Arabidopsis thaliana: one gene and its partners. The protein of the gene in region 2 purifies or fractionates together with the protein of the main gene of each other region. This does not show direct contact. Each region holds a gene or a part of one and is shown on either strand. Other genes may lie near its edges. The genes, in order: MEE5, emb1507, ESP3 and AT1G10580.

Region 1 (9,589 bases), 5.4 Mb from region 2:
GTTGTCGAACTGGTGGTCTTTTATGGGTTCGTCGGTCATAAAAATCTCGTGATTTCCAAAATTGCCAAAAATAGTTCATATCTTTAGGAAATATTCAAATTAGCCTCAAAACTATTCTTTAGTTTTATAATTTTGTCCTATATTAAACAAAATTATCACTTTAACCCCCACCAGGAAGCTTCTGACCAAACTTTCGAGTTAGGCTTTGTCAACATGGCACGTGTTCAACAGTCCTTCTCTTTTTTTTAACTCTCTTAACATTTCCTTCCGACAGATTTGCTTGCAGATTGAAGCTAAAATAATCAAAGACAAATACCAAACACAACAACAAATTTTCCAGACGATTTGAATTTGATCATCTCTAATAAACTTCGTCGCAGGTTTGTTCGCTCCTCTCTTCTTTTTCTAGTGTACTCAAGGATCAGCACATTTGAATTTATAGATCCAATTTATTGTAATTGTTTTCTTCCCTGATCTCTATTCGTTTAGATTTTGGTTGATTGATCTCGATTCGGAGTTTACGGTTGTACTGTTTAGTATTATATAGAACGATGGTGACTCGAAACTGATTCGGAAATCAAATTAGGGTTTTTTTAGGGCTTCGTTAAATTAAGCAAAGTCTGGGAAAATTGTGCAGAGAATATGGACAAATTGAAGATAGCAGAATGGGGAGAGAAGCTGAAGACTGGTGGAGCTCAGATGAGCAGAATGGTGAGTGAGAAAGTGAAAGATATGCTTCAAGCTCCAACCTTGGAATCCAAAATGGTGGATGAAGCTACTTTAGAGACTTTAGAGGAGCCTAATTGGGGAATGAACATGAGGATTTGTGCTCAGATTAACAACGATGAGTTTAACGGCACTGAGATTGTTAGAGCTATCAAGAGGAAGATCTCAGGTAAGAGCCCTGTGAGCCAAAGGCTGAGCCTTGAGCTTTTAGAGGCTTGTGCTATGAATTGCGAGAAGGTTTTCTCTGAAGTTGCTTCTGAGAAAGTTCTTGATGAGATGGTTTGGTTAATCAAGAACGGAGAAGCTGATTCCGAGAACAGAAAGCGAGCTTTTCAGCTTATTAGAGCTTGGGGACAATCCCAAGATCTTACTTATCTTCCTGTTTTCCACCAGACTTATATGGTAAATCTCTCTGAATCTTATTTGCTTATTATGCAAAGATGGAATTGTTCATATGCCTATAATCTCCGGCTTGTCTTTTGTTTCATAGAGCTTGGAAGGCGAAAATGGATTACACGCTCGAGGTGAAGAGAATTCAATGCCGGGACAAAGTTCTCTGGAGTCTCTTATGCAACGGCCTGTTCCAGTGCCTCCACCTGGTAGCTATCCGGTTCCTAATCAAGAACAGGCTCTTGGGGACGATGATGGTCTTGACTATAACTTTGGGAACTTATCGATAAAGGATAAGAAAGAACAGATTGAGATTACACGGAACAGCCTCGAATTGCTCTCTAGCATGTTGAATACTGAAGGAAAGCCAAATCACACAGAGGTAGTTGCTACGTTGTCTGCTCATCTAACTTTTGTCATTTTCCTTAACAAATGTCTATGGAATATGGATTGAGTTATGAGTATCTCCTGGTTTACATTATTGTTTCCTTGGATATATGTGCTTAAAGTGAAATTGACAGGACAGTGATAAGTAATAGGTTTATATATATTATGGTTACAGGACGATCTAACGGTTAGCCTGATGGAGAAATGCAAGCAATCGCAGCCATTGATTCAAATGATCATAGAGAGTACAACAGACGACGAGGGAGTCCTGTTCGAGGCTCTGCATCTGAATGATGAGCTCCAACAAGTTTTATCTAGTTACAAGAAGCCTGATGAAACCGAAAAGAAAGCCTCCATTGTGGAACAAGAATCATCAGGAAGCAAAGATACTGGTCCGAAACCAACAGAACAAGAAGAACAAGAGCCTGTAAAGAAAACGGGTGCTGATGATGACAAAAAACATTCAGAAGCATCAGGATCCTCCAACAAAACCGTCAAAGAAGAGAAGCAGGCCGTGAAAATAGAACTGGGGCTTTCGAGTGATGAAGATGAAAAATAAGCAGTCTGTGTTTGTTGTCTTCTTCCGACATGGATATCAGAATGTTGCGAAGAGTTGTTCTTGATGGTTTACTTTTAAATTATAACAATGTACTTCCATTATAAGTGTGGAACCTTTTTAGCTTCGTTTCTCACTTTCTGTTTTAAAGTGGTTTCTTAGACATTGTTAAACCGTAGGTGAATCTTCACCCGAAACATTTATACGAGGTGTTTTGGTTTGCACTTAGCCTATTGCTTATGTGTTGAGAGGTGAGTATCTACATCTCCTCTGGATTATATAAATGGCTTGATAAAATTCACCTCACTCTCCGATAAACTCGCTCGAAATGATAAAACGAAGTCTAACCTTTAATGTGTTTAATGTGTTTAGTCTTCTCAAGTCAAATAATAATCGGAGTCTTGGTCTCTTGGACGATGCTACACAGGGATATTTCAAAAGTTTACCCTTATCACCAACTAGAGAACCCAAATTAGGTCTTGTACCGATTGTAGAGTATATGTCTATACGATACTTCTCACTGTCTCTTGGACGATGCTTCACAGTGATATTCCAAAAGTTTACCCCTGTCACCAACAAAGCCAAATAAGGGCTTGTACCGATTGAAGAGTATATGATACTTCCCACTACACTTGAGTAAAGAACTGTCTTCATGTAATCATTATAACCATCTTGTTATGCTTACTATCTTCTTCAAATCGCAGCTTTCAATCTAAAATGAACTCCTAAGTGACATACGACTAATTTTGCTTCATCCATCGCAAAACGCAAACATCTTTTAAAACTTTTACTGAATTTTTTCTGCAGTAAACATAGTGAACCCGGTTTACGTTCTGGTTTAGACGTTTCAATTTTTTCTAAATTGGGCCGATTGACATATAATTGGACCCGACCCATCAACATATCCCACATCGTTACAAATAGATTTCAATTACTATAATTTAATCAATATATACCGACTAAAACTCTCTGTCCGACGTAGAGTCTTCCAATCAAAACCTAAATCTAAATTTTTCATTCCCTTGTTCCGGCGATAACAGTCTCAGTGGCGACAAACCCTATTGCCGAGCCAACTCGCATTTTCCTCTAGCTATCGCAACGCCTCTCGCTCTCTCTCCCCACCGGTTCGTCTTCTCACTCCTTAACTTTGTTCAGCTTGTTGATTCTACCCTAGGTTATTGCTCTACTCCAACGCTTCTGCTCGACTCTCGCCTTGTTGTTTTTCTTTAGTCCAACTTAGCATAAGCTTCTGCTCGATTCTCTCCTAGGGTTTTGCTCTAGTCTAATTACCTTAAGTTTCTGGTTGATTCTAGCTTTTTCATGGTGTTCTCTTGGACTTGGTGTTGAGCATTAGAGGAGATTACTCGCCAATGGGTTAAATAAAATATGTTGCAGAATTGCTATAGTAAATAACCCAGATAGATCTATCAAAAGCTTGATTTTGTGGTAATGCACTCATTTGACTTTTTTGCCGTTATTGTTTATCTGCTACAAAATCCTGATTGCTCATGGGATTCTTTTTTGACAGGTTTACATAAAGATGGAAAGTAGCTTGTATGATGAGTTTGGTAACTATGTTGGACCTGAGATTGAGTCTGACAGAGATAGTGATGATGAAGTAGAAGATGAAGATCTCCAAGATAAGCATCTTGAAGAAAATGGTTCCGATGGCGAACAAGGGCCTGGGGGTTCTAATGGCTGGATTACCACTATCAATGATGTTGAGATGGAGAACCAAATTGTTCTTCCTGAGGATAAGAAGTACTACCCTACTGCTGAGGAGGTTTATGGTGAGGATGTTGAGACCTTGGTTATGGATGAAGATGAGCAGCCTCTTGAGCAACCCATTATCAAACCTGTTAGAGATATTAGATTTGAGGTGGGGGTCAAAGATCAAGCAACGTATGTGTCAACACAGTTTCTTATCGGCCTCATGTCTAATCCTGCGCTTGTGAGGAATGTTGCTCTTGTGGGGCATCTACAGCACGGCAAAACTGTCTTCATGGATATGTTGGTAGAGCAGACGCATCATATGTCTACTTTTAATGCTAAAAACGAGAAGCATATGAAATATACAGACACACGAGTCGATGAGCAGGAGAGAAATATATCAATCAAGGCGGTTCCAATGTCTCTTGTCCTTGAGGACAGTAGATCCAAATCATACCTGTGCAATATCATGGATACCCCTGGACATGTCAATTTCTCTGACGAAATGACTGCTTCTTTAAGACTTGCTGATGGTGCTGTTCTGATTGTTGATGCTGCTGAAGGAGTGATGGTAAGTCTTTACTCTCTCTTTTTTGGTCTGTATTTTTAATTTTTTGAAGTATACTATTTGTACTGACGCTAATAATCTTTTTTCAGGTTAACACAGAGAGAGCTATACGGCATGCAATCCAGGACCATCTCCCTATTGTAGTTGTTATCAATAAGGTACTTCATGCTTCAACGTGTAACTTAAGAGATACTGTGTGAAATTTTATATTTCCATACATTTGCTTGACCTTTGCTTTTTGTCAATTTTTTTCCCCCAACAGGTTGACAGGCTCATAACTGAGCTCAAACTACCTCCAAGGGATGCTTACTACAAGCTGAGGCATACAATTGAAGTCATTAATAACCACATATCTGCTGCTTCAACAACTGCTGGAGACTTACCTCTTATAGACCCTGCAGCTGGAAATGTATGTTTTGCCAGTGGTACAGCCGGATGGTCCTTCACATTACAATCTTTTGCTAAAATGTATGCCAAGCTTCATGGTGTGGCCATGGACGTGGATAAGTTTGCATCTCGACTTTGGGGAGATGTATATTATCACTCTGATACTAGGGTATTCAAGAGAAGTCCTCCAGTAGGTGGTGGAGAAAGAGCATTTGTTCAGTTTATTCTGGAGCCCCTATACAAGATATACAGCCAAGTGATAGGTGAACATAAGAAGAGTGTAGAGACCACCCTTGCAGAATTAGGAGTGACTCTGAGTAATAGTGCATATAAGCTGAACGTCAGACCTCTACTTAGGTTAGCCTGTAGTTCAGTGTTTGGTTCGGCATCAGGGTTCACTGATATGTTGGTAAAGCACATTCCTTCACCCAGAGAGGCTGCAGCTAGGAAGGTCGACCATTCATATACCGGAACCAAAGATTCCCCCATTTATGAATCAATGGTAGAATGTGATCCATCTGGACCTCTCATGGTTAATGTGACAAAGTTGTACCCCAAATCAGATACTAGTGTTTTTGATGTGTTTGGAAGAGTTTATAGTGGTAGGCTTCAAACAGGGCAAAGCGTACGTGTACTAGGAGAAGGGTATTCACCTGAGGATGAGGAGGACATGACTATAAAAGAAGTGACGAAGCTATGGATATATCAAGCTAGGTATAGAATACCAGTAAGCAGTGCCCCTCCCGGTTCCTGGGTTTTAATTGAAGGTGTCGATGCATCCATCATGAAAACTGCGACTCTGTGTAATGCAAGCTATGATGAAGATGTCTACATATTCCGGGCTCTCCAATTTAATACCCTCCCAGTAGTCAAGACTGCAACTGAGCCTTTGAATCCTAGTGAGCTGCCTAAAATGGTGGAAGGGCTTAGGAAAATTAGCAAAAGCTATCCCCTTGCGATTACCAAAGTTGAGGAGTCTGGGGAACATACTATTCTAGGCACAGGTGAGTTGTACTTGGATTCAATCATGAAGGACCTCAGGGAGCTCTATTCAGAGGTCGAAGTAAAGGTATCTAATTGTATCTCTAATTTGGCTCTATGACTGTGATTCCGGTGTGCAAGCAAATTGCTGATTTGGCTGTTTGATAGCTAAGATCCTTTTGCTTTCTTAAATTTGTAGGTTGCAGATCCGGTGGTCTCCTTCTGTGAGACAGTGGTTGAATCTTCGTCGATGAAGTGTTTTGCTGAGACACCAAACAAAAAGAACAAAATAACTATGGTAAGAGATCTTCTTTTTCCACTATTATCTCTTATATATTAGACTGCGATGTTTGGTATGGTGCTCAAGCACAATTACTTTGTGAAAAATCTGATATCTGTTTCATGCTAAAGATTGCAGAGCCATTGGATAGAGGACTTGCAGAGGACATTGAGAATGGCGTTGTAAGCATTGACTGGAACAGAAAACAACTTGGTGACTTCTTCAGGACGAAATATGACTGGGATTTACTTGCTGCACGTTCCATCTGGGCTTTTGGCCCTGACAAACAGGTGAAATGCTTGTATTCTTAAAACACTGCAATCTGGGGTTTACTTTATCTTTATTGTTATGGTTGGTTTATGTCTGTTTTGACAATTTCATTGATTGTTGATTTTCGACTGATCAGGGGCCAAACATATTATTGGATGACACCCTTCCAACTGAGGTGGACAGGAACTTGATGATGGCAGTGAAAGACTCCATTGTTCAAGGGTAATCATCTTTCTTCTGTTACACTTTTCTTTTACTCGATTTTGTTGGCTTTAGCTAAGTGGCTTCGTTTTATTCCTCTTGCAGGTTCCAGTGGGGTGCTCGTGAAGGTCCCCTCTGTGATGAGCCCATCAGAAATGTAAAGTTCAAGATTGTTGATGCACGGATAGCACCAGAGCCATTGCATAGAGGATCTGGTCAGATGATTCCAACAGCAAGACGTGTTGCATATTCAGCTTTTCTAATGGCAACTCCAAGGCTAATGGAACCTGTCTACTATGTGGAGGTACATAATCCCTTTCCATTTTTGCTCGTCACATTTTTTCTCTTAAAATGATAACTAAGAGTTATGGTTTTGTCGCAGATACAAACACCAATCGACTGTGTAACTGCAATCTACACAGTTTTGTCACGTAGACGTGGGCATGTCACATCTGATGTTCCTCAACCCGGTACTCCAGCTTATATCGTGAAGGTTAGTTTTGTTTGTGTCTTTTCTCCTTACTTTGTTCCTGTTATTTGACTAAGTGATGATTCATTGAGTATATTCTTTGGTGTTGATGCAGGCCTTTCTGCCTGTGATAGAGTCCTTTGGGTTTGAGACAGATCTGAGGTACCACACTCAGGGACAAGCCTTTTGCCTATCTGTGTTTGATCACTGGGCCATTGTGCCAGGAGACCCTCTAGACAAAGCCATCCAGTTGCGCCCACTTGAGCCCGCTCCTATTCAGCATCTAGCTCGGGAATTCATGGTCAAGACCCGCCGTAGAAAGGTATTATGATTTCCTTTGTTTCAATGCACATCCCAAAACTTAGTGGGTTTCATGCGGTTAAAGATACGAATGAAACCATAAACTGATTTGTTACTCTAGTGTTTGGTTAAATGACCCCAGTAAACCCTCACAAACCAAAGGATCCCCGAAACTACTGTTTACAAACCCGGCCCTTGCTAATTACTCTTTAACCAAGTAACACCAGCTATAATTTGCTGGATACATCCTAGGCTAGTTATATTGTATGACTCGTTGGGTGTTTGGATCATCAGTTTCAGACTCTCACGATATGTATAATTTGTTGGTTATGCAGGGAATGAGCGAAGACGTCAGCGGAAATAAATTCTTTGATGAAGCGATGATGGTAGAGCTTGCCCAGCAAACAGGCGATCTCCATCTGCAGATGATTTGATGATCTCTGCACTTTTTTCATATAAATCGTGATTCAGGACTAGTAGTAGTATCTTCTCTTCTCTATATATGTGAAAGGAGAACAAGAAAATGTGGATCAGTTTTGTAATTGATGTGTCAAATTTACGTTGTAAGTTGAGAGATTTTAATGAACTCAACAGTCCACATGGTCACACTCACACATGACTCGCAAATAGTTGACAGGAAATGTTCACAAATTTTTGTAAAATTGTAAACTACTATTGGATTATGGGAAACTGAACTAGGTTATGACACTATCATTTATAAGATGATCTCATAGTTTGTTGTCTATATGATTAGTAATTATACATATGATACAGAGAACGTACGATCCAGATCCTATTTCCGCAAAGAGTTTTCTGCATAACTAAGATTTGATTCTTCAAAAATGCTAAATTTAAAGATAAACCAGGTCAATGGCACAAACCTATCTAGATATAAGTAAGTTTTTCTTCATAATTTAATTTAGTGCACACAGACGACTTATTTTACTCCAATGAAAATCGGTTAATTCGTCAAACGTCACTACTTGTCTCAAAGATTTGTTGTGCTTTACTATTTTCGTCTATTTCATGCTTCCATAATCAGCTTTTTACGTTGACGTGCTCTTTACAAATCGAAGTGGACGTGGCGGCAACCACTTATACTTATTATACATAGAATAAAGCTACAAAATATATAGTTAAGGCCCTGGTGGATTAATATATACATCGTTTAAGGTTTTAGATTGGTCTCCTCCACCTTATTTTATGTGCATTGCCAACTCTGAAAACGTCATGCCTTATCTTCATTGGTTATATCCATTTGGCTCCATCAACCAAACGACGATAATGATTTTCCACATATCCTATATACATTTGGGTTCGGTAGAATTACTACAATACTCAAATTGCTTTTAATTTATGTTTTAGTTTATGGAATATGAATTGTGAGTTTTTTAAAAAATAATCTCCCAATTAAATATTATTAGCTTTTAAGTTTCTATTTCAAGTGAAATCAGTTAGCTATGCATGTCATTCAATATAGACATAATTTTGTTTTCTTCCATTCGTTTTACAATTTTTAACTAACAGAAATTATACATTACGTCACTTACTACGTTCCCACTAAAAATAGAGGCAAATGCAATCAAGTGATGACGACCTTTCAAAAATAAATATTAAGAGATATATAAGAAGGGACTAGCTAGGTAGATATGACTAGATTCCAACTTAATTAACGTATTTAATTTCTGCATAGATGGACGTTAATTAGGACTTTAGCTTCTCTATAAATACCGTAGCTATTGAGCTTATATATGGAGATCACCCCCTTAAAATCTTCAAAGACTATATATCTCACCTTTAAGAACTAAGAGGAAGTTACATATATATGGCAAGTCTCAAGTTATGGGTTTGTTTGGTCCTGCTTCTAGTACTCGAATTGACATCGGTGCACGAATGTCGACCATTGGTTGCCGAAGAGAGATTTTCTGGTTCAAGTCGTTTGAAAAAGATAAGACGTGAACTTTTTGAGAGGTTAAAAGAGATGAAGGGGAGATCAGAAGGCGAAGAGACGATCCTTGGAAATACTCTTGACTCAAAGCGGCTTAGTCCCGGTGGTCCTGACCCGAGGCATCACTGACACTGACCATAGAAGAATGCAAAAAAAAATGTGTAATGTAACATTTTTGGGAGAGTTTTAATATGATATTACAACTTTTTAACTTATAATGTAATATTCTTATGCTGTAGTTAATTTTCTGTCTTTCCACTAATGAAGCATTTCTGTTTACATGATCTCGTTTTTATGTAGTTCCTGCATGCATCTTTCTTTAGCAAATATGTTCTATTTAAAAAAGCAGCATGTTATGCTTATTTTGAGAGCTATTCCCATTTTCACTAAATATGAGTTCATACTATTCAAGTTAA
Region 2 (7,160 bases):
ATCAAAATATCATTGGAGAGTCCATGAAACTGACGCAGGGGTGTCTGAACACTCCACATCCTCTTCCCTACCATTTTAGACAAGTTCAGAGCCTTCTCTGCCAATTGAGCCCATCCCCGCTTCAATACAATTTCATAAAGAGCTCGCACAAGACGTCCAGCACTCTAAAAATGATAGAAAGGAACGAAATATAAGTATCAGAAAATAGATACAGCTAATTTATCAATGTAACTAGAAGGGACGAGAGAAGAAAGTGTAGAACAAACCTGCGTAATGTAAACCATGTCAGATGTCAAAGAAAGACCCTCAAGCTTTAGCTGTGAAATATATGCCTGCAGCAATACATTTATTTTGGCACTGGGCTCCTCCAAAGTTTCCTTGATCGGAATTGGGACACGATCCAAAAGTTTCGCCAGTTCCATCTTCTCATCTTGCCGAACAGTCACATACTTGAACTCGTCACTCAGGGAGAACAGACGATAAAGATCTATATCACCCATTGTTGGCTTCAAATGCTCATTGTATGTAGCTATGGTCCCATGGGTTATGTAATAGTAGCTTGCTATGCGTCCCAAATCTGTAACTTGGAAGTATCCACTTTTCCTGTCATACTTAACCAAGTTGTTTTTGTCCAAGATAGTAGCAGCCGAATGTATCTGCAAAAACAAGGATTCAAGCAAATATTAGACACAGCTCGCCATTAAAGGATCAATGATATATGAAACTTTAGAACAATGATATTACATAACCGAATGCAAACTCATTGTTCGGAAATCTCAAAAAGATATATGAAATACTAATCTGTCATCAACTTGAAGAAGACAAGGCAAACACCAAACAGTTCATCATTGATTGCATGTAATAGACAGTGAGAAAGCTACTGACACTAGGAACATTATTTATGGGAAATGATATCAAATAAATAAACGTCATTTTCAGAGAAATAAAATTAAATAATCAGGTACATACTCCCCATTCAAAATACTCAAAAAGAAATTTCTGTTACTAGATTAGTAATCAACATGATGATGCACAAGTGATCCCAACAGTACATGATGATGCACAAGTGATCCCAACAGTTAATCACGGAGGCAAAGCTACTGATGCTAGGCATAATATTTAGGGGCAATGATACTATATGAAAGAGCGTTACAAACTCTTCACTAAGAATATTAACACAAATAAAAGTAACTTTCAGAGCAGTGATAAAAAATACGCACAATTAATCACAGGCTGCATAATAGTAGGCTGTATGAAAGCTTCAGATACTAGGCATAGTATTTATGGGCATTTAACTATAGAAAAATAATGTGACAGTAGATAGCAAAAGCCAAAATTTATGCAGATGAACAAATTCCGTACCAGGTCAGCTCTTCTCTCCTCCAAAACTACGTCTTTTGCAAGGGCATCAGGCGCTAAGCCATACAACGTTGGATTACGAACCATACGGATATACAAATACGTGTAACCAAGCCAATGGCAAGCCTCTCTAGCATTCTGAACGGTTCCAAGCACAATTTCAGCATTAAGCTGATCAGCAAGTTTGGAAATAAACTGGCTTTCAATAGGTAGTTGCTCATTCATCAAAGAAAGATAATATTGCAGCTCGCTGTAGCCAGTTATAATTATACCCTCCCCATGTTGATCATACTGAGGTCTTCCAGCACGACCAAGCATCTGCATAACATCTAGAGGACTCAGCTCCATCCACGCCCCTTTTTCAGGATTATACACCTGGGTTCCTTTTATAATTACGGTATGTGCAGGCAGATTCACACCCCATGCGAGAGTTGCTGTGGAAACCAAGACTTGCACATGCCCCTGAGAAAAAAGAGTCTCAACAATCTCACGATCACCCCTTGATAACCCAGCATGATGAATTGCAAAACCGTAAGGCAGAATATCTTTTAGGTCACTATTCTTAACAATGTCTTCATGACTATGGAGAACGTCACGAGTTACACTATCTTCCTTCAAGAATCTGCTGAGGGTATCGTTCGCCATTGCAGTGTCCCTTATTGCTCTAGCAGTTTTTGATGTTTCCTTCCTTGAATGAACAAAAATAAGGACCTGGTGCTTTCCAGCACCAGCCAATACTTTCTGATAACAAAGATCATTCATCAACTGGAACCTCTGCAACGGTTTCTTCACACTGATTCCAATATACTGCTGATGGAGAGGCACGGGTCTGTAGCTGCGGTCAAATTTAAACAAACCTTTCTTAAGATCAACCCGCAAAAATAAGGCCACGTCTTCATAATTTGGCAATGTAGCAGATAAACCAACCAGACGAATATTCTCTTTCGTGGTTTCAATTTGCCTAAGAGTCCTAGCAACAATGCTTTCAAGCACAGGCCCTCGATTGTCATGAAGGAGATGAATTTCATCAATTATAAGAAGTCTCACAAGCTGAGTATAAGTTCGGTCTCCAGACTTCCTAGTGATGATATCCCATTTCTCTGGTGTTGTAACAATTATCTGAGTCTCTTCAATTTCTCTTCCGGTTAGGGACTGATCCCCACTGAGTTCTCTCACAATAACTCCATAATCCTTCAGACGATTAGACAAATTACCTACAACTTCAGCAACAAGGGCTTTCATGGGTGCAACATAGACAATTTTGTAATCTCCATGGTTATAAGTTCCATCTGTGTTCCTATTCATTTCAAGTTGCTGCAGTATGGTGAGCATAGCAACATTGGTTTTCCCAGCACCAGTTGGAGCACAAAGAAGAATATTCTCTGCCTTGAAAAGCGCAGTGTCATACACTTTGCTCTGAACCCTGTTCAACTGTTGCATTCCCTTAAAAGCCGGTTGCGCCCAATCAGGCATTTCCGTAATCTTCACTAGCTTCTCATTCCTATCAACCTTTTTAGAAACCCAAGGCACATGAACTTCATCATATCCCTTGCCATGACTTCTGTAAGAGCCAGGGGGGAGGTCACACTTCTTATTCGCCATCAGAAGACCACCTTGGTCAAAAGCCAAGCTCTCCAGGTCCAGCATCTGACGCTGACCCTTCACCCACCCACTCTCTGAATCTCTATCAGCAACATCTCTCCTGCCTCTGCCTCCATCTCCACCAGTTTCGTCCTTCAAACGCCGGGCTTCCTCGTTAATACTTTTTTGCAGGTTCTCCTCCCTCTCTTTCGCTGTTGCTCTTGTTGCATGCAACTGCTCCACAATTGCTGTCAACTCTGGGCCTAACCCCCTCATCTCCTCCTCGATTCTATTCCTCTCTTCCTGGTCTTCTGCCCTAGCCAAACGAGTGCACCACACAACTTTAAGACGGTTACGCAGCAGAAACTTGACAAGGCTAAATTTTTCGTACTGAAGGTGCATAAGCAGCTTGTCCTCAACAACCCTATCATCCCCTTCAGCGAGTATCTTTAGTAGCTCTTCTGCGAGTACCTGGCATTGTTGTGGATCAATCTGCTGTTCATACGCTTGAGAGATCTTTCTCTGGAGCCAATATGCATCAATGTCTTGAACATTAAGATTTGTGCCCTCATTGGCATCTCCTGCATCCTCATCATTTATCCCTGCATCAACCTGCATGCCTCCAGTTCTGGTAGGCTCATCATCCTCCTCATCATCATCCTCTTCAACCATATCAGGATCGCTTTCCTCATCATCTTCTTCATTCTCCTCAAATTCAACAGCCACGCCCAAATCATCATCAAGCCCTTCATCATCATTAGCTCTACCACCACCAGAATCACCACCCTCTTGGAAGTCCGTGATTAACTTTCCAATGGAAACAAGCTGATCAAACTCATGGTTTTCAATCTTGTTCAGCAACTTCTCAATCTCCATCTTTTTCTCAGGGTTTCTAAATGCGTCATTCTTGAGAACAGCCAAAATCTCATCCGCTGCACCACTAACAATACTCGGAGGTTGCCCACCCAACTGCTTCTGGATAAGACCAAGCATGGCTTCATAAGCAGCCCTCGTCTCCTTAGTCTTCGGCTGATAAACCGCATCATCAGTATCAGTCAGCACACTCTCTTCCCTTAGACGCCGCCTCTTACTCTGCCTAATATTTACCATATCATCTACAACATCACGTTCCTTCTTCTTAGACTTTTTCAGCTTATCCTCCAACTCCTGAGGCCTTCCCTTAGCAACACGGTCACCAAAAGACCTCGGATCGATTTTCCCCCACAGAGTTTCCGGTTCTCCTGTAGGCTCATGAGTATCCCGAGGTCTATTATCAGTAGTTAACACCAGACTAGAATTGGCTCTGTACTCATACTGCTTGAACCTGGCATGTGCTTCCGCACCGCCTCCCAAGTTCGCCATCTACCAATCCGAAAACCTAGAAACCAAATCAAACAGGAACAAAAAAAAATACACAATGTTAACCTCAAATCGAAGAAACGAACCAAAAGTGAAACGAAGAAGCTCCCAGAGATGATAAACCCTAATAAAACCACACCCAAATCGAGGAAACGGAGATTAAAAAAAACTTACAGAAACAGCTACGAAAATCTCTTCTTAGCTTCACTCTCTGCAACGAATCAATCCAGTAGAAGAAACCCTAGTAGGAGACTCAGATCTCTCCCTTCTCACGTCCTCTATCTCCTAATAATCGACCTAAATGACTAAAGGAGACACTCCTTCGTTTATTCGACTGCGAATTCTTTCTATAAGCTAGCGATACCGCCTTAAGGTGGAAAACTTTAACGATGCCGTTTTGAAACTATGGATCCAATAACGAAACCGACTCTGTACATGGATTGGGCTGGGCCTGTACATACTTCCTAAGCCCAACGTAATAAGACAATGGTCTCATGCTTTCTTTTGCGTTTGTTAATTTGAGAATGAATGCAAGTGTTTTTGTTTATTATAAGAATTAAAATTGTCAAAATATTAATACCTCAACATTAATAATCGCTGACAAATATAATGTGTGTGTAATAATGAACAAGGAATGGGAAAAACTTTAAATGGTGACAATGACATGGAGGCTGATTACTTTGAATGCAATCTTAGATTAGTAAAAGATGGCACATGTATATGAGACGAAGGTTCATGTGTTATCATGTGAAAACTGGGCAGTCCATAAAAATATCCAAAAAATTTATATATATGTCTTTGTTTATTTTTGTCAAATCTCTAAAGAGATCTATTGATCTTAGTGATAATATAGTTTTCAAACATGCAACACGTATAATTTATAGTTTTGTATTAAAAAGAGTTCTCATGTTATATATCGATATAACAAGAATCAACTACCATAACAACATGACAAAGTACAAGAAAAACTCACTCCATCATTAAAACTCTTGTTTGGAAAGAAAAAAACTCAACCGGTGACTAAATTTTTACTTTCTTTTACTCTTTAAGGAAATACAGAGAATGGTGACAAACAAACAAAACAGTAATTTAATACAGAAAATTGACTAATCACGCATCAGTCATCACATAAGTAGGCGTGTGAAATATTGAGACGTGGAAAATCAAAATGTCCCAAAAAGGCCATGTGTGGAAATCCACGTAACAAGAGCATCATATTCAATTATGTATTTTTGTTTAATATTCTAAAACAAAACTGTTTTTTTAAGAGTTTACCAAGATTAATTAATATCTAAAATTATGCTAAACCACTTCAATTTTTTTTGTTTTAAAGCGATGTTATTTTTGTTACTGCACATATACAACAAAACAAATTACGTATATATAAACAACTAAGAACTCTCGTCCGCCTAAATTCGGTTTAAACATCCATGTAAGCACCTATTGCGGATTAGAGGGAGCATCGATCATGTGACATAGTGTGGCTCCATTATCTTTAAAGTTTTGCCGGAGTTAATTATTTATGACAAAATTGGTGTACTTTATTCCAAGATTTAATAATATTTTTTATTATTTATTTGTTTTACTTAATAATACTTTTTATTCAAAAGTGTAAACACAAAGTAACAATGCCTATGCTGTTTTTTTTCCTATCAATTATTTAACCGCTGCATTTGATTAGTATATATGGAAGGAATATTTAACTACCGATTATCACTTACGGTTGTTAATGACAAATTTTTACAAGTAACAATTGATTTGAAAAAGGTCATTCAGAAAATCATCGCTAGTCTGCCACAAAATTCAAATGTGTTACAATGTATCATAGTTAACTACAAAATCCTTTATTATAACAATAATGGGTTGACCACTATAAATCCTTTATCTTGTTTTATACATTTCGGAGGCTAATTGACATTTTGGTCTGAATATATCCATGCATAATTAAAATTTCGAGTAATATTGTCTCAATATTCCTTCCATATATACTATGAATAAACTATTAGAGATTTTAACAAACCCTAGAAAGTCCAAAATACGTTTTTTGTGAAACATACGAAGAAAATAGATAACATATATGAATAATATGCGTAGAAATATTGACGAAAGTGACGAAATGTAACAGTTTTCGTATCATGTATACGTGAATTTCCATGTCAGGAACCGCTACTAGAATTGATAAGGTCAAAAGATGAAGCTCATCGTGACATTCCACCAACCGAAAGTACTCTCACCGCTTCACGCATGACCCAAATATATACAAAAGTAGAAAAAAAAAAGCACAAAAACAACGTGTAGAGGCGATAATCATAAAATTGAGTTCTTATACCTATACATTTGAAAAGCTTGATATAAAGAAAAATATGTATCATAGACGGATATATATAGCTCGTGTTGCGGCATATATTGTCAGTTAGTTCATGCCTATTGATTGATTTATTTGTGTAGCTGTCTCTTTGACGAATTAACTCAAGTTGGTATATTGTTAATTAGTTTTACCAGCTACTCACTTTATTGTCGATCTAGTGCTTACCAAACTAATGGCAACTACAAATTAAAGTCGTCTCCGTATATTAACGTATTTTTCAATTCTATTTACGCGTATAATATATCTTCGTCAACTATTGTGGAGTAGATCTAAATAAACAAACAGCGGAAAACTAAATAAATGTCATAATATGTAGGCAAGAAAACAAAAGAGCCATTAGATAATGTGTGTCTTGTATTGTATTTATTGAATCTTACCACCGAAACCGACATATCATTAGAGTTTTAGTAAGCACGTCATTTTCAGTTAGTAGGTTGGAAAAGAAAAATTCTCATCTTCAATATGAAAATATAGGATGAGTATCTTTTTATGA
Region 3 (6,913 bases), 4.4 Mb from region 2:
TTCCTGATTCACAAATAAACAGATGCAAGAACATGTCAAGATAAATTTTAGTTTTTGCTACGGATATAAATTCAAAGAAACATACAAGCTTAACTTATCTTGAATTACATCCTAAAAAGAAGATCTGGTGGTTGAGTTTGATCAAACAGAGTTAATGAGAAAAAATAGAAAAAGGATAGTACCTGAAGTTCCTCTAAAGCTGTTTTCTCTGCCAAATCTTGAGATTTTTGTTTTGCATCCATAGCATCTTCATACTGCAGTACAAAACAAGCAATCAGCTAAAACTCAACATATGAAAGAAGGTATCATCAGGTTTAATAGACATCATAGGCAATAATACATTTTCACCAGCCATGACAGATTCCTTTATGAAGTTTATTTGGTCTTCAAACACAAACCTGCGAAAAACATGTTTAAGATTTAGAATCCCCAGATCATGGGACTATCCATGTTTAAGAGCTGGCAAGGACTATTTCTCAAACGAGATAAACAAATTCGAAATCAGTAGAATAAGAATAAAAGAACAATATGCAACAGATCTTACTGATAATCGTCTGAGGCTTGCTTATTCTTTGCACCAAATTTTAATGTTGCTTTTCCTGCATTACAATGTCATTTAAATTAGCATACAAGTAAACAAAGTCACTTAAATCAGTGGATAGTTAAAAAATGACTGGTTAACAGAAAAGAGTTAAAACAGAAATTACCAATCTGATGGTCCTCCCAAGCTTCTTGCTCTGCGAATGGATTCATTTTCTCTGTTGAATCCAGGTCCCTAATATAAAAAATATGATTTAGGACGTCCGAAAGAATTTTGTAAAATAAGAAAGATAGATATTCCTATTGTAAGTGCAAGCAGAGAAGAATGTGGTGGATCACTAGCAAATCGCTCGTTGTCGACTCACCTGTATCGTTGAACAGCAACAGAAAACCTCTTCTCCTGATCAACACCTCCCTCTTGATCATAAGCATCTGGAATTCTATACTGAACTCCGAGAGGTAGGAGTAAAAGGGAGAGGCGTTAGATATATAGATATTCTACATAACCAAGTGGGAGAAGGGTCCAGCAAGATGAAAACGTTACCTCCTCGACGTTATCTTCATCTTGTGTTCTTTTCTTCACGAGGTCATAAAGCTCTTTCTTGTACCTATCAAAGATAACAGATCAACCCAAGCTCAATCAACTATAACTAAACATACTTTCTTAAATATGAATACAACCATCTAACTTTTCAATTGCAAAAATAAATTTTTTAAAAATGCACTATTCATATACAATTGAAAATGTTTATTCCTCATCAAAAGAAGCATGCTGCATCAAATAGATGTTGGCAATGGCAACAACCACCTTGATACAAGAAAGATGTAACAATTACCTAAACTCACGAAGCTCCGTTTCTGTGAGCTTTTCACCTCCGAAAAGATATTGTTCATCTTCTATCTCATCCCTATGGAGAAAAGAATAAAAATGGGAGAAATCAATTATAGAAGATAGATCCATAAAAGATAGAAAACTGCAAAAATCTTTATGTCATGTACCTTAGTTCATCCAGTTTCTTTTGTTCTCTCTTCTTTAAGTATTCTTGTCTCGAGACTTTCCTGTATCAGACCCACCAAAAGATGATCAATAACATGGACAGCACAAAATAGCCTCCAAAGAGATTATTTCAACAAGTAAGAACACCCTCAAGAGTACTTAACAAGGAGATGATTGACATAGTCAAAAATTGGTAACTGGAACATCATATAGTATTTTAACGGTGGGATTTTAACATACAACACCCAGGTACATTATTGACTACTGTTCTTGTAAATCATGCTAGGTAACTAAACTTAATTACCTAAAATCACTGTTAAAAAGCGATCATCACAAACAAATAAAGAAGGAAAAGGTTCATTACCTTAAGGAATATAAATCATCCTTCTCCAAAGCATTTGCTCTTCGAACAGCCTCTTCTGTTTTGCAATAAAACATAAAACCAAAATGAGAATATCAGGCAAAAAATACTTATGTCTAGATCACAATGTATCATAGAAATGTTCATATATGTTCATGCGCAAATTATAACAGAGTGTACCTTTCTCTTTCTTTGACAACGTTTGCTCTGTTAGCTGATCAATAAACAAACGAAAATAACATGTCATTGACTTTCACATGTACAATACATTGATAAGTAAACCATGCTAACTATATACTTCTTGTTTGGTTAGTGAATTTGTCTTAGCATACAAGATTGGATGACGAATAAATGTGAATATTTTTGCTTAATTCATCTTCCATACTCAAACAAAGCTAGATTTGCCTGCTATGAATTACGAGAAAACTCATTCATTAATAACTTGTACATAAATTGCCGACAATACTTACCCCCGGTTTGCTACAAACACACGACCTATTCAGAGCACAAAACAGGAAAAATATACCAAGATTAGATTGAGGCATACCTTTCGTGTCCGTGCAGTATCACGATCTTTTAAATGCTGCTCCAGTTCTTCTCTCTCCTTTTGGTCACGCACTCTTTCCTCTTCTGACTGTGCGAGTGGACAAGAAAGAAGAACATTATAAAAGCACACGTGAATGCACATATATCTATAGAACATCTCCCAGTTATTGGAGTAAACCAAAGACCAGGAATCAGAAAATAGTTGAAATGCGTTGAGAGTCCAGATATACCTCAGAACCATCATCCTCTTCAGAAACCTTTCTTCTAACGTGTCTACTATCCTCTCTAACGGCCACCTACATTTATGTTATACATTTTATCAGATCAGATGCCAAGCTATAACTTACCATTAAGAAAGAAAGAAATTGGAATCTGTCAATGAGGAAAAGAAACTATGCCTCGCCATCACTTTCATCTGACTGCCCACTTTTCTTTCTAAACCTTTTCTTGCCCTTATCTGATTTTCTAGATTCAGAAACTGAAGATTTTTTCTCCACAACAACTTCGTCTTCATCATCATCAGCATCTAAAAGAGCATATGTTTTCTGCTTCCTCACTAGCATTGCTGCCTCTGCTTCATGTTTTTGGTAGAGCTGACAGAGAAGTAAACCAAATTAAGAAAACCAACCAAAACTACAGCTAAGCTCATATCCATACATACTTCTCACAGAAACAGAAACTAAAAAAGCATCTCGTTCCAAAAGCTTCAAAGAGAAAACACAAGAACGATAAAGTTTACAGCAAACTCACATTTACACCAGCAGTTTTACGGGGAACTCTGGCAAAAATTTCTTCTGCAAACGAACGAGTATCACCAGAAGACGAAAACCCGTAATCCACCAACTCTCCCACAAGTTCAGTTGGTGATTTTGTTTTTTTAGCTGCACACAATTTGTTAAAGTTTTGGGACAGTCAAGCAAAAGTTCTTACATAAGCTCCATGATCCAAAATCGAAACATCAAATTACCCATTGCAATGAGATAGTTAACAACAGCCGCTTGAGAGTAGCCAAGTAGCATCATCAGCTTATCCGAAACCCAAGTCTTCAAATCATTGCTCGCCATTCTTACTGTATTTGAATAAACAAAGCAACACCAAGAATTTCAAATCAAAATCCATTCTCTAACCATTTCACATTATTTCATTGATATACGAATCAAAACAATAATTAGTGAAACTATACAAGATTCTCAATTTTAAAATTCACTTCGCAGCTTGAATTCTCATAGCTATCAAATCAACCGTAGGCAGCAATATCTCCGAAAAATCGAAAGTAACAAAACCTAATTTATAAACTGACACAAATTATCCTAATCATCGAACTAATGGAACAAGTTACAAACCCTAGATTTCGGTAAACTAAGGGTTCAGGTTTCTCGAGAGTGAGAAGATTTCGAGAGTGAGGATCTCTGTTTTCGAAGCTACCGGTGGGCGCGAATATATATATCGGAGTCTATCGAAGTATTTCACCCGAGTGGGTGGATAGAAAAGGCGGTGAGAGTCTCCGACGTTGAAGGAGGCCAACGATGGAGAAAAGGGAGGCGGTGAAAAACAAGTGTTTGTTGTTTTATCAGATTTCAAATAAAAAGCGTGTTGTTTTCAAGTTTTACTTAAATCCATAAACATCGCGTCGTTTTACTTATACAGATGCGAATAGAAACCTTTTCCCAAATTTAAAGAGAAACTGCACGCTATTTAACTCATATAGAAGCCAACTGTTTGTTGTTCTTCTTAGTTTTTAATTAAATGGGCCAAACTGGACTATATGGGCCTCCCAAGCCTTTGAGCAGTAATGAACAAAGGATAATTGACGAATCGTAAGCGCAAAACCGGCGCGTGAGTATCACGATCGGTTTCTGTGAAACACATCAGAGCAAGCCTTTGACGTGATTCCTGGCTTGGTCTCTGATTTCCCGATTTGGAAACTTCTCGATAACCTCTGATCCAAAAGACGATATGAGAGCTCTTCTTGCAGTCTCCAAGTCGATCCCACGAGCTTGGAAATAGAAGAGCTGGTCTTCTTCAAGATCACTGATAGCAGCTCCATGAGAGCATTTGACATCATCTGCAATGATCTGAAGATTCGGTTTTATGTTCACGGTGGCTCGGGGTTTCAGAAGGAGGCTCCGTGTTAGTTGTCCCGCGTTGGTCTGTTGAGCGAATCTGCATATTACCACACAGAAGTTAAACCGATGCTAAGCACACCAAACCAAACTGAAAAGTTTACCTGTTAACTCGGACATTGCCATCGAAAACAGCTTGACCAGAGGAATGAGCAACAATACACTTGTGAAGCTGTCGTGAAGCGCCTCGTGGATGGTCTAAGATAATTTTGCTATGGAGATCAAGAGTCTGCTCGTTGACACACATATGAAACGTGGTTAGCTCTGTGAGCGTATCAGGCCCAAGCTGCTGCACATGAACATTGTGCCTCCCAAGTTTCCCACCAGTACTCACTTCCACAAGCTCATATTCACTCTCTGCCTCCTACAGAGTTCACCACATGAACAATTCAGCATAAAACATTCCGAAGCCATACCAAAACATCCTATTCTATAAACCTTTATACTACAAAGAGGAGAAGACAAAATCAAAACTCACATGAGGCTGAAACTAAACTATTCATCCTCATCAACAATTCAATCATAAAGATTACAACTTTTCCAAGTTCAGCAATCAGCAGCAACAAAACTAAACTAAGACACTCTCCTCAGACAGCAATAAGATTCCTACTTTCGTACTCAAATTGATATCAAAACATCCAACACTAATCTAAGCCACGAGAGAGTACTACCAAACAGTAATAGGCTAAACTACTGATTCAACAATTCAAGAATTCTACTAATACCAAGCCAATTAGTTACTGGAAAGACAATAAGAGAATGAGCAAAGATTGAACCTGTCGGACAAAAGTCCACTTGATATGAGCAGAAGCCATGGATTCTTTCTGCAAATAAGAATGCTTCAATTTCGCATTCTTTTGAACAACAACTTCCAAAACAGGATTCGTCCAATAAAACCCTTCTTCATCTTTACCAACAAATTCCTCAACGATACCAATCTCTCCTCCTTCCTCCACTAACACAAAAACCCTAGGATTCGATACCGGTAACCGTTTCGATTCCCGGTCACCAGTTTCACCAGAAAAGTACCTCAAATAAATCGGATTCTCGACCTTACATCCTTCAGGAACATAAATCACCATCAAATCCGGTGCTCCCATACCATTAATCGACCAAAACAAATCACCAGAATCAAAATTCCCGATAAACTCAGAAATCCGGTTCGTTAACTCATCCGGTAAACCAGAATATTTCCCGAAGTAAACCCCATCGGGCAAATCCGATGGACCAATCGTCAAATTCGACACGAACCCATCAATAATCACAGCGTTTGTGAACTGGGTTTCCGTCAGATTATCCAAAATTTCCGAATTTCGTTGCTGGGTCGAAATTGGTTCGATTTGAGAAGATCGGATTAAAGATGTATCGGTGAATCGGAAAGGTTCGTCTTTTCGTGACGGCCATGGCGTAGATAAAAGAGTCTCAGCGGAAGAATCACGGATTCTTTGAAGAGGTAAAGAAGAAGAAGGAGAAGCTGAGAGAGAATCTTCGAGAGATTCAGCTAATTGAAGTACAAAAGGGTCAGAGAACGAAGCTTGTGCACGAACAGAAACACTTGTGGAAGTTGTTCTTCTGTTAGATTTCAATTTTGGTTTAGATGATAGATTTGGTATCAGTGATAAGCGACCGAGAACTGTGGCAGCCGCCATTAATGGATTCCTTCCTTCTCTCTCTCTTTGCTTTTCGCCGCGATTCCCACAAGTACTTTCTCAAATAGAGTGTGTTTTTTTTCTTGTCTCTCTTCTCTTTTTTTTTTGTTTTCCGTCTCTATTTTATTGTATTTGTAATGTTGTTTAGTTTGGGCTAAATGGGCTTCTATGATAGACTCATTTTAACTTAGGACCGGCCTTAATACATTATTATTACTCAATTGTTTTGGAAAGAAACTGTGAAAGTGTGAAAGTTAGCAAAAAAGTGTGAACCATTTAGTTAAGTCTCGGTAATTTGCGAGGCATACCTTTTGACCATGTTTTATTTTCAGGGATTGGCAAAGTGAAAGATGGTTTTCACGTTTTGTCTATTTAGCTAAAATTTGATCCTTTTGCCCTTGCTGCTACAGCTGAAAAACTGTTAAATGTACGGTTTAGTTAGTCAGGTTTAGTTAGATACACTGTTCCGGTTTAGTTGAAGATATTTTTGTTTCACGGTGAGGAGTGCGGCTGTACAGTTAGAAGGGAGATTTTTTTTTATTAAAAATGAAGTGACATCAACATTTAATGGCCCAAAAAGTTTAGACGTGACTCTTGTCATAATTAATGCAAAATCATCATTACATGTTATAATATAATAAAATTATTGATAATAATTTTATTCGTATTCAAGGAAAGGTGTCAATCTAGCGTAAGC
Region 4 (7,285 bases), 3.8 Mb from region 2:
CATGTATATATACACGACATAACTAGTAAACAAATCTTTTTTTCTAAATGTCTTATATAAATTGGACAGTATATATAGATCGATAACAAAAATTTCGCTACAAATTTTCTAACTATAAGTAATCATCCTTTTCTAGCCACAGAATTAGTTACAAGTAATTATAGGCTTAACATTTTAAAATTGGGCTAATCTGTATTTCTAGTCACGGATTTTCAATGGCTATGAATTATGATAGTTACCAAATGACTATTCTCTTCTTGTACGAATTCAAATATTTGAAGAAGGAAAAAAAGAATAACATGTGGAAAATGCAATAAGGATATAATTGTCCCTTACTCAGTTTCTAAGCAAGTGGTCAAGCAGCGAGACGATATATACACAGTGTTAGTATCATATTGCGGCTCCTTTTACTTTTTATGTCAGTTTGCTCAGTGGCAAAGTTATGACCAACATCTACCTGGAGTACTCCAAGACTCAACAAAACTAGGCATGTTTAATTTTCTGTCTTTGTATTCACCTCCGGTGAACGTTTAGACGATCGGTCCATGTAGATCCCCTATCCGGTGAACGATGTCGGCCATACGGCCAAAGAGAGTTGAGGGCCTTTAATAATTTATGTAAGGAATGCCGAATGTGTTGTGTCCTTTTCTTCTATGATAATGATAGCTTGTTGAATAATCTTAGGTTATGGCGCCTTATGATACTTTCCTCGGATAATGAATACGTGCACCAAATTAATTGAACATGATGATACTATTTGATTTAGTGGTCCCGATTCTATCAGTATACAAAACAATTTTCCTTTTCTATTTGTTGATAGAAACATATATAGTACTGTTGTAAGGAATTCATTTTTGTCTACCGTGGCTGTTGACTATTTTACGCCATTGAAATGATTTTTGATAATAATTTTCTCCAAACCTACTGTAAATCACAGGACTTAAACTCATGGTTAGTAATCTGAAAGAAGAAGAATCATATCTCTGAACGTTAGGAATCTCATCTCACACGGTAAGCATGATGCTATCTAAACTATGTCTTTGAACGTTAGAAATCTTACATCGAAATTATGATGCGTCCTAGTAATGTGTCAACCCACCAACAAATCTAATTTTTTTTTTAATGATAAACAACATATCTAATTGTTTTGAAACTTTTGTATCTTTAAGAACGTGGAAATTCCGAAGTAAATAGTAAAATTTACTTGGTAGGAAAGATGCATGCATCTTATTAATTTAGTGTGTAAGCTCACGGACGCAATCACAAAAGCCATGACTTTCTTCCAAAACATCCCTTTCATCTAAATCACGTAGCTCTTTCTCTCAAAGTTGAGATTTGTGACTCTGTATCTCCCGGCCCTCTCTATCTCTTTAACTGTATATAAAGAGAGATGGATTTGAAAAGAGAAACTTGTACATAAAAGCTTAAAAGAAAACAAAAAGAATGGGGAGAGCAAGAGAAATAGGAGAAGGAAACTCATCGTCGTTAAGGGAACAACGAAACCTCAGAGAGAAGGATCGAAGGATGCGCATGAAACATCTCTTCTCTATACTTTCTTCTCATGTTTCTCCCACTCGCAAGGTCCGTTTTTTCTCTCTAACTCTCCCTCTCTCTCTTTCTCTCTCTATATATATCTTATATTAAATTGTAGATGTGTTTTATGCGTATATACAACAATACAAACATTATCTACATAATTACTGTAAGATGTACGTTTTATTCTAAAGAGATAATATTTTGATTAATTGAATAGGCAGTTGTCCCTCTATGACCGTCCATATTAGCTCTCTTTTAAGTACGGTGTCTAATTGACAAATAAATGATTCACGTAGCTAGGGTTTTTACGGTTTATTTATATATATTGAATATAACCACATTCATGTAAAAGATTAATGAAAGTAATTATCTTGGGGTTTTTTTTGGGATCTAAACAGTTACCAGTGCCTCACCTTATAGATCAAGCGACATCATACATGATCCAATTGAAAGAGAATGTAAATTATTTGAAAGAGAAGAAAAGGACATTGTTACAAGGAGAACTCGGGAATCTCTACGAAGGGTCGTTTCTTCTACCCAAACTCAGTATTCGTTCGCGGGATTCGACCATAGAAATGAATCTGATCATGGATCTAAACATGAAAAGAGTAATGTTACACGAGCTTGTGAGTATTTTTGAAGAAGAAGGAGCTCAAGTAATGAGTGCTAATCTTCAGAACTTGAATGATAGGACCACTTACACAATCATAGCCCAGGTACCACATCCACACGCATATGTTTGTATAATACACACGTATATGCATGTGTCATGTCTTTCGTATAAATTTTTATTACATATATTTGCAGGCTATCATTAGTCGGATTGGCATTGATCCATCAAGGATAGAAGAGAGAGTACGGAAAATCATCTATGGATATATATATTTTGAAGCATGAAATCCCAAATGATAAGTCTACGCTAACGCTAGTGTGTTTTTTCACACATGTGTTAGTTCTTTAAATATGAGATGAGTAATTGCTTTTGAGTTCGATTATGATAAATATGTTGACCGTCAACATAAGAAACCTTAAAACGTTGTCGTTTCGTTTTTATTCATCCCGGTTTAATTCAGTTTGGCTTGGCGTGATTTTAGATTGGTCCAGATTTGCATAATTTTAACCACCGAGTAAGACAGTGGGATGTAAATGTCAATAAAATACACTATTGGGGTAAATGTGAAAAGAAAAAAATAGTAAGAGGCTATATTTGAAAATCTAAATATCGCACAAATTGCAACCCTTATTTTAGATTTAGGAATTTTGAAACCCTTGTCGAAGAGAAAAGAGGCAAAATCTCAGTATAAAGTTTCTCAAACACTTGTGGTAAGAGAGCAAAATCGTGAGAGATGGATCTGATTCAATCCTACGAAGAAGAAGACGAAGCCGTTGCTTCCTCGCCGGAATCTTCACCGCCTCGTATGTTAAAGGCGAAATCATCGGCGCCGGAGGTAGACGATACGGCACTAGCTCTCACGGTGGCTAACGTGAATCAATCGAAATCGAAGCCGATTGACCCGACTCAACACGTCGTCTTTTATAACCCTACCCATGATCAGCTGTGGGCTCCGATGTTCGGCCCCGCGCATCCGTATGCGAAAGACGGGATCGCTCAAGGGATGCGGAATCATAAGCTAGGTTCTGTGGAAGATGCTTCGATTGGATCGTTTGGGTTTGAAGAGCAGTACCATACGTTTCATAAGTGCGGTTACGCGGCGGATCCGTCTGGGATGAACTACGTCGGCGATGTTGAGGCGTTTAAGAAGAACGATGGTCTTTCGGTTTTTAATATTCCTCAGAGTGAGCAGAAGCGGAGGAAGATTGAGAGGAGCAAAGAGGAGAGGGAAGGGGAAGAGAAAAAGGAAGAGATTGAGCCGGAAGCTGAGAATCCGGAGACGGAAGCTTGGCTTAGGAAGAATAGGAAGAGTCCGTGGTCGAGGAAGAAGGAGGTGGTTCAGGGAGAGTTGACGGAGGAGCAGAAGAAGTATGCGGAGGATCATGCCAAGAAGAAGGAGGAGAAGGGACAACAAGGTGAAACCAAAGGAGAGCATTATGCGGATAAGAGTACCTTCCATGGCAAAGAGGAGAAAGATTATCAAGGAAGGTCTTGGATTGAGGCTCCTAAAGATGCTAAGGCGAACAATGATCATTGCTACATTCCAAAACGTTTGGTTCATACATGGAGTGGGCACACGAAAGGTGTTTCCGCTATTAGGTTCTTCCCAAAGCAAGGACATTTGCTTCTCTCTGCAGGTATGGATTGTAAGGTTAAGATTTGGGATGTGTATAACTCTGGTAAATGTATGAGGACTTACATGGGTCACGCCAAAGCTGTGAGGGATATTTGCTTCTCCAATGATGGGTCTAAATTCTTGACTGCTGGGTATGATAAGAACATTAAGTATTGGGACACGGAAACTGGCCAAGTTATATCGACTTTCTCCACTGGGAAGATTCCGTATGTGGTTAAGCTGAATCCGGATGATGACAAGCAGAACATTTTGTTGGCTGGTATGAGTGATAAGAAGATTGTGCAGTGGGATATTAATACGGGGGAGGTTACGCAAGAGTATGATCAGCACTTGGGGGCAGTTAATACTATCACATTTGTGGACAATAACAGAAGATTTGTCACGTCGAGCGATGATAAGTCTCTCCGTGTTTGGGAATTTGGGATCCCGGTGGTTATCAAGTATATCAGTGAGCCTCATATGCATTCTATGCCTTCCATTTCTGTTCACCCGAATGGAAACTGGCTTGCTGCACAGAGTTTGGATAACCAGATTCTGATCTACAGTACCCGAGAAAGGTTTCAGCTGAATAAAAAGAAGAGGTTTGCAGGGCACATTGTTGCCGGTTATGCATGCCAAGTTAACTTCTCGCCAGATGGACGGTTTGTAATGTCAGGAGATGGTGAGGGTAAGTGCTGGTTTTGGGACTGGAAGAGCTGCAAAGTGTTTAGGACTCTTAAATGTCACAATGGAGTATGCATTGGAGCCGAGTGGCATCCTCTGGAACAGAGTAAAGTCGCAACTTGTGGTTGGGACGGCTTGATTAAGTACTGGTATGTAACCTTCTTCCAGACTATTTTGTTTATTTGTTTCTCTTGTCATGATGTGTGGTGTGTGCCTTTACGTAACAGCTGCATAATAGTTATTATTGGTATATATAATTGTAGCAAAGCTAAAGTTGTCATCTGAGTATCCTTGCATGTAACATGTGTCTTAATTCTTTTGGAATCAGATATCGTATATTCCTAGTGTATGAGTAATACTTTGAGTTCACATCTGTGGAGTGATTTGGAAAGAAAGTTTGACTTTGATTCTAATGGTTTTTATTCATAAAGAAGTTGCGCAATTGTAAAATCTTTGAAAATTACCAGTCCATGTAACCATGTCGTAATCTCATGGCTAATGTTTGATTGTGATGTTTTGTTGCACATTTGCAGGGACTAAGACAAGCAGAGGCATTTCGGAGAAAGAGAGAGTAGAAGGCACAGAAATCACGGCCTAGCCTGGGCTATACGGAATGCTGCATCTTTGGGATACAAAGCCCCTTTGAGTTTTGCTTTCCGCTGTTTTAGATTCTTTAGTGTTGTATCAATCTCGGTTTAATGGATTATGTAGAGGGACGACCAAAACTATTTCAAATGCTTGAGAGAAACTGTTGACTGAATCGTTATAAAGATAGCTTGTAAGACTTGAAATTTTGCTAAAGCTGTGTTACTTTGCACCATTGCAGCAATGTTGGCTTTTTATTCGGATACGTTATTATTACCTTGTTGATTTGTTCTGATTATGTCATGCTCCTTAGTTTATTACAGGACTTGAACAAAATGATTGTTAACAAAAACGTATCTTTCATTTCATTCCTTAATTAGAGTGACCAAACTTGACACTGTTCTATACAGCTTTAATCTGTTTGGTTACCCTTGCGGAATAGATCAACGAGTATGTTCCAGATTTTGATCCTCAAAGCGGAAGCTTCTTCCGGTTTAAACCACTTCTTGTGAATCTGGAGATGAAGACAATACAACAAGTTCTGTTAACAGCAAATTGTTTAGAATAGATCATAGAAACAAAGATGGAAGAAAAACGCACCATTTTCAAATCCTGCAATGTCAGCCTTTGAGGAGCCTCTTCGATGAAACGTCTTATGAAGAAGAGCAGAAACAGACCACAGTCGAAATCGTTCTTCTGTTGTGGAACCTGAAAAGGTGATGAAATTATTTAGAAGAATACTATAATTTGTCTTCAAACATTATGATTTGCAACTTAAGGTATAAAGACTAGCCTGCACTTCAGCTTCGTTGATCATATTGGGAAGGTCTCTCCATACTTTTGCTGAAATTGGTAAATCCAATGGAGCATCTTGATTTAGATAGTTCCATTCCTCTCTCAGAAATCTGCAACAATAACTTGTAATTAAAACCACAAATAGAATATAGTTAAGATGGTCTTAGACTCTTGACACTGAGAAACTTTATGCAATCAGCATCAATGATACGGATTCCTTGGGTCTCACCTTTTGACATTATTGAAAATCAAATTTCTTGGGTGAAGTCCCAATGAATCCAAGTGAATTATAGTCAATCCCGATTCGTCCTCCTTGTCTGGGATGCAAATTATGACTAAGCTCCAGTGAAGACTGAAACATTCAAGAGGGAAAGAAAACATTAACCAATCTAACAATTGATGCTGAGAACATTTCTCCATTAGAAAGAGCAGACTGAGATGTGATAACTCTGATCTAAGATACCATCTTTTTGCATAATCCTCTAAGCTTAGATGACAAAAATTACTCTTCATGCCAAAAAAATGCATTCATGGGATTCAATAATAAACAGTCAGTAAATTACTTACTCTTCATGTATTGGTATAAATATATATGATTTACAGAATAGATCAAAACCCTTCCACCACCGCCTGAACTTCACAAAATATGCATCCCTGTCATTACCCTAATCATAGTGAAAGGACAAGACAAAGAGACCGAACAACACATGAGTCGCCAGAAGAAAAATAATGTTAAATCACAAGATTCATAAAAGAGGTAGTATTATCATTTTTTTTCTCAATTCTTGTTACAGTTGCAAATGAAATATTTACTCAACCTTCTATAATAGAACAATGAAACATAAAGCATCTTGAGGACTTGAATTTTTTTTAAATGCAAACAAAATATAATGAGCTCTGAGAACTAATAATTATCTTTATAGAAACCAGGGAAAGCAATCACCTTGTATGAAACAGCTTCTGTGAGCTTCTTGTAGAAAAACGTATTGAAGAAATGACAATTAGCAGCAGTCTTATCAGCTGAAAACACGTGATGTTGCACGTACCTAGTCAAACAGAAGCAGAAATTATTACAAAGCTATAACACGAGACATATAATGCAAGTATCCCAGTCGGTACTTAGAAGTCACCTGATGTAGAAATTTATAACTGGCGATGTAAGATATTCCCCAGGTGAAAGGCATTTCAGATCTTTAAGAGATACTTGAACAAGGTCTCGCCCATCACTTTGATCACTAGATAAAGTGAAAAAAAGGTCATATATCTTATTGACGATTACAATAAGTAAACAACATGATAGTTTTTCTACCTACCTTGATGGGTAGTAAATATCTTCTGGTAACCTGCAGATGTCATCAAAATTAAGTTATCTCCAACACAAAAGTGATTCAGACACTTAATGAAGATAAACAATAATAACTCTGTTTTTACCCTTCAGGAAGTTCACATGCTTCCTC

Evidence for each region.
Region 1: the proteins of emb1507 (region 2) and MEE5 fractionate together in Arabidopsis thaliana (co-fractionation; one large-scale study listed by BioGRID). This does not show direct contact.
Region 3: the proteins of emb1507 (region 2) and ESP3 purify together in Arabidopsis thaliana (affinity purification with mass spectrometry, with the first as the bait; one study listed by BioGRID). This does not show direct contact.
Region 4: the proteins of emb1507 (region 2) and AT1G10580 purify together in Arabidopsis thaliana (affinity purification with mass spectrometry, with the first as the bait; one study listed by BioGRID). This does not show direct contact.

What each region holds. Positions count from the first base shown.
Region 1 is NC_003070.9:1,896,925-1,906,513, forward strand, and holds MEE5 (Ribosomal protein S5/Elongation factor G/III/V family protein), read left to right. Parts: upstream 1-3,026; 5' UTR 3,027-3,183; intron 3,184-3,308; exon of another isoform or gene 3,309-3,372; 5' UTR 3,373-3,505; intron 3,506-3,587; 5' UTR 3,588-3,599; coding exon 3,600-4,340; intron 4,341-4,426; coding exon 4,427-4,495; intron 4,496-4,599; coding exon 4,600-5,793; intron 5,794-5,904; coding exon 5,905-6,003; intron 6,004-6,116; coding exon 6,117-6,275; intron 6,276-6,391; coding exon 6,392-6,477; intron 6,478-6,561; coding exon 6,562-6,760; intron 6,761-6,838; coding exon 6,839-6,949; intron 6,950-7,040; coding exon 7,041-7,247; intron 7,248-7,560; coding exon 7,561-7,659; 3' UTR 7,660-7,973; downstream 7,974-9,589. Other genes in the region: AT1G06200 (Peptidase S24/S26A/S26B/S26C family protein), read right to left, coding at 1-39; AT1G06210 (ENTH/VHS/GAT family protein), read left to right, coding at 643-1,128, 1,217-1,498, 1,679-2,062; CLE3 (CLAVATA3/ESR-RELATED 3), read left to right, coding at 9,051-9,302. UniProt on the Arabidopsis thaliana protein: Splicing factor involved in pre-mRNA splicing and component of the spliceosome. Essential for reproduction. In female gametophyte, is necessary for the egg cell and central cell fate determination and hence reproductive success.
Region 2 is NC_003070.9:7,305,613-7,312,772, forward strand, and holds the start of emb1507 (U5 small nuclear ribonucleoprotein helicase), read right to left. Parts: upstream 4,660-7,160; 5' UTR 4,474-4,659; intron 4,319-4,473; 5' UTR 4,303-4,318; coding exon 1,363-4,302; intron 657-1,362; coding exon 267-656; intron 165-266; coding exon 1-164. UniProt on the Arabidopsis thaliana protein: RNA helicase that plays an essential role in pre-mRNA splicing as component of the U5 snRNP and U4/U6-U5 tri-snRNP complexes. Involved in spliceosome assembly, activation and disassembly.
Region 3 is NC_003070.9:11,745,779-11,752,691, forward strand, and holds the start of ESP3 (RNA helicase family protein), read right to left. Parts: upstream 4,006-6,913; 5' UTR 3,788-4,005; intron 3,514-3,787; 5' UTR 3,509-3,513; coding exon 3,412-3,508; intron 3,326-3,411; coding exon 3,195-3,325; intron 3,038-3,194; coding exon 2,843-3,037; intron 2,741-2,842; coding exon 2,675-2,740; intron 2,533-2,674; coding exon 2,446-2,532; intron 2,113-2,445; coding exon 2,079-2,112; intron 1,957-2,078; coding exon 1,902-1,956; intron 1,600-1,901; coding exon 1,540-1,599; intron 1,449-1,539; coding exon 1,377-1,448; intron 1,149-1,376; coding exon 1,085-1,148; intron 986-1,084; coding exon 906-985; intron 776-905; coding exon 708-775; intron 600-707; coding exon 545-599; intron 399-544; coding exon 341-398; intron 255-340; coding exon 183-254; intron 4-182; coding exon 1-3. Other genes in the region: ABCI7 (non-intrinsic ABC protein 6), read right to left, coding at 4,313-4,607, 4,672-4,931, 5,344-6,216. UniProt on the Arabidopsis thaliana protein: Involved in pre-mRNA splicing.
Region 4 is NC_003070.9:3,489,263-3,496,547, reverse strand, and holds AT1G10580 (Transducin/WD40 repeat-like superfamily protein), read left to right. Parts: upstream 1-2,713; 5' UTR 2,714-2,882; coding exon 2,883-4,597; intron 4,598-4,981; coding exon 4,982-4,988; 3' UTR 4,989-5,290; downstream 5,291-7,285. Other genes in the region: AT1G10585 (basic helix-loop-helix (bHLH) DNA-binding superfamily protein), read left to right, coding at 1,444-1,581, 1,935-2,252, 2,344-2,433; OTS2 (Cysteine proteinases superfamily protein), read right to left, coding at 5,446-5,547, 5,634-5,741, 5,827-5,938, 6,058-6,180, 6,396-6,493, 6,772-6,874, 6,959-7,063, 7,142-7,171 and 1 more.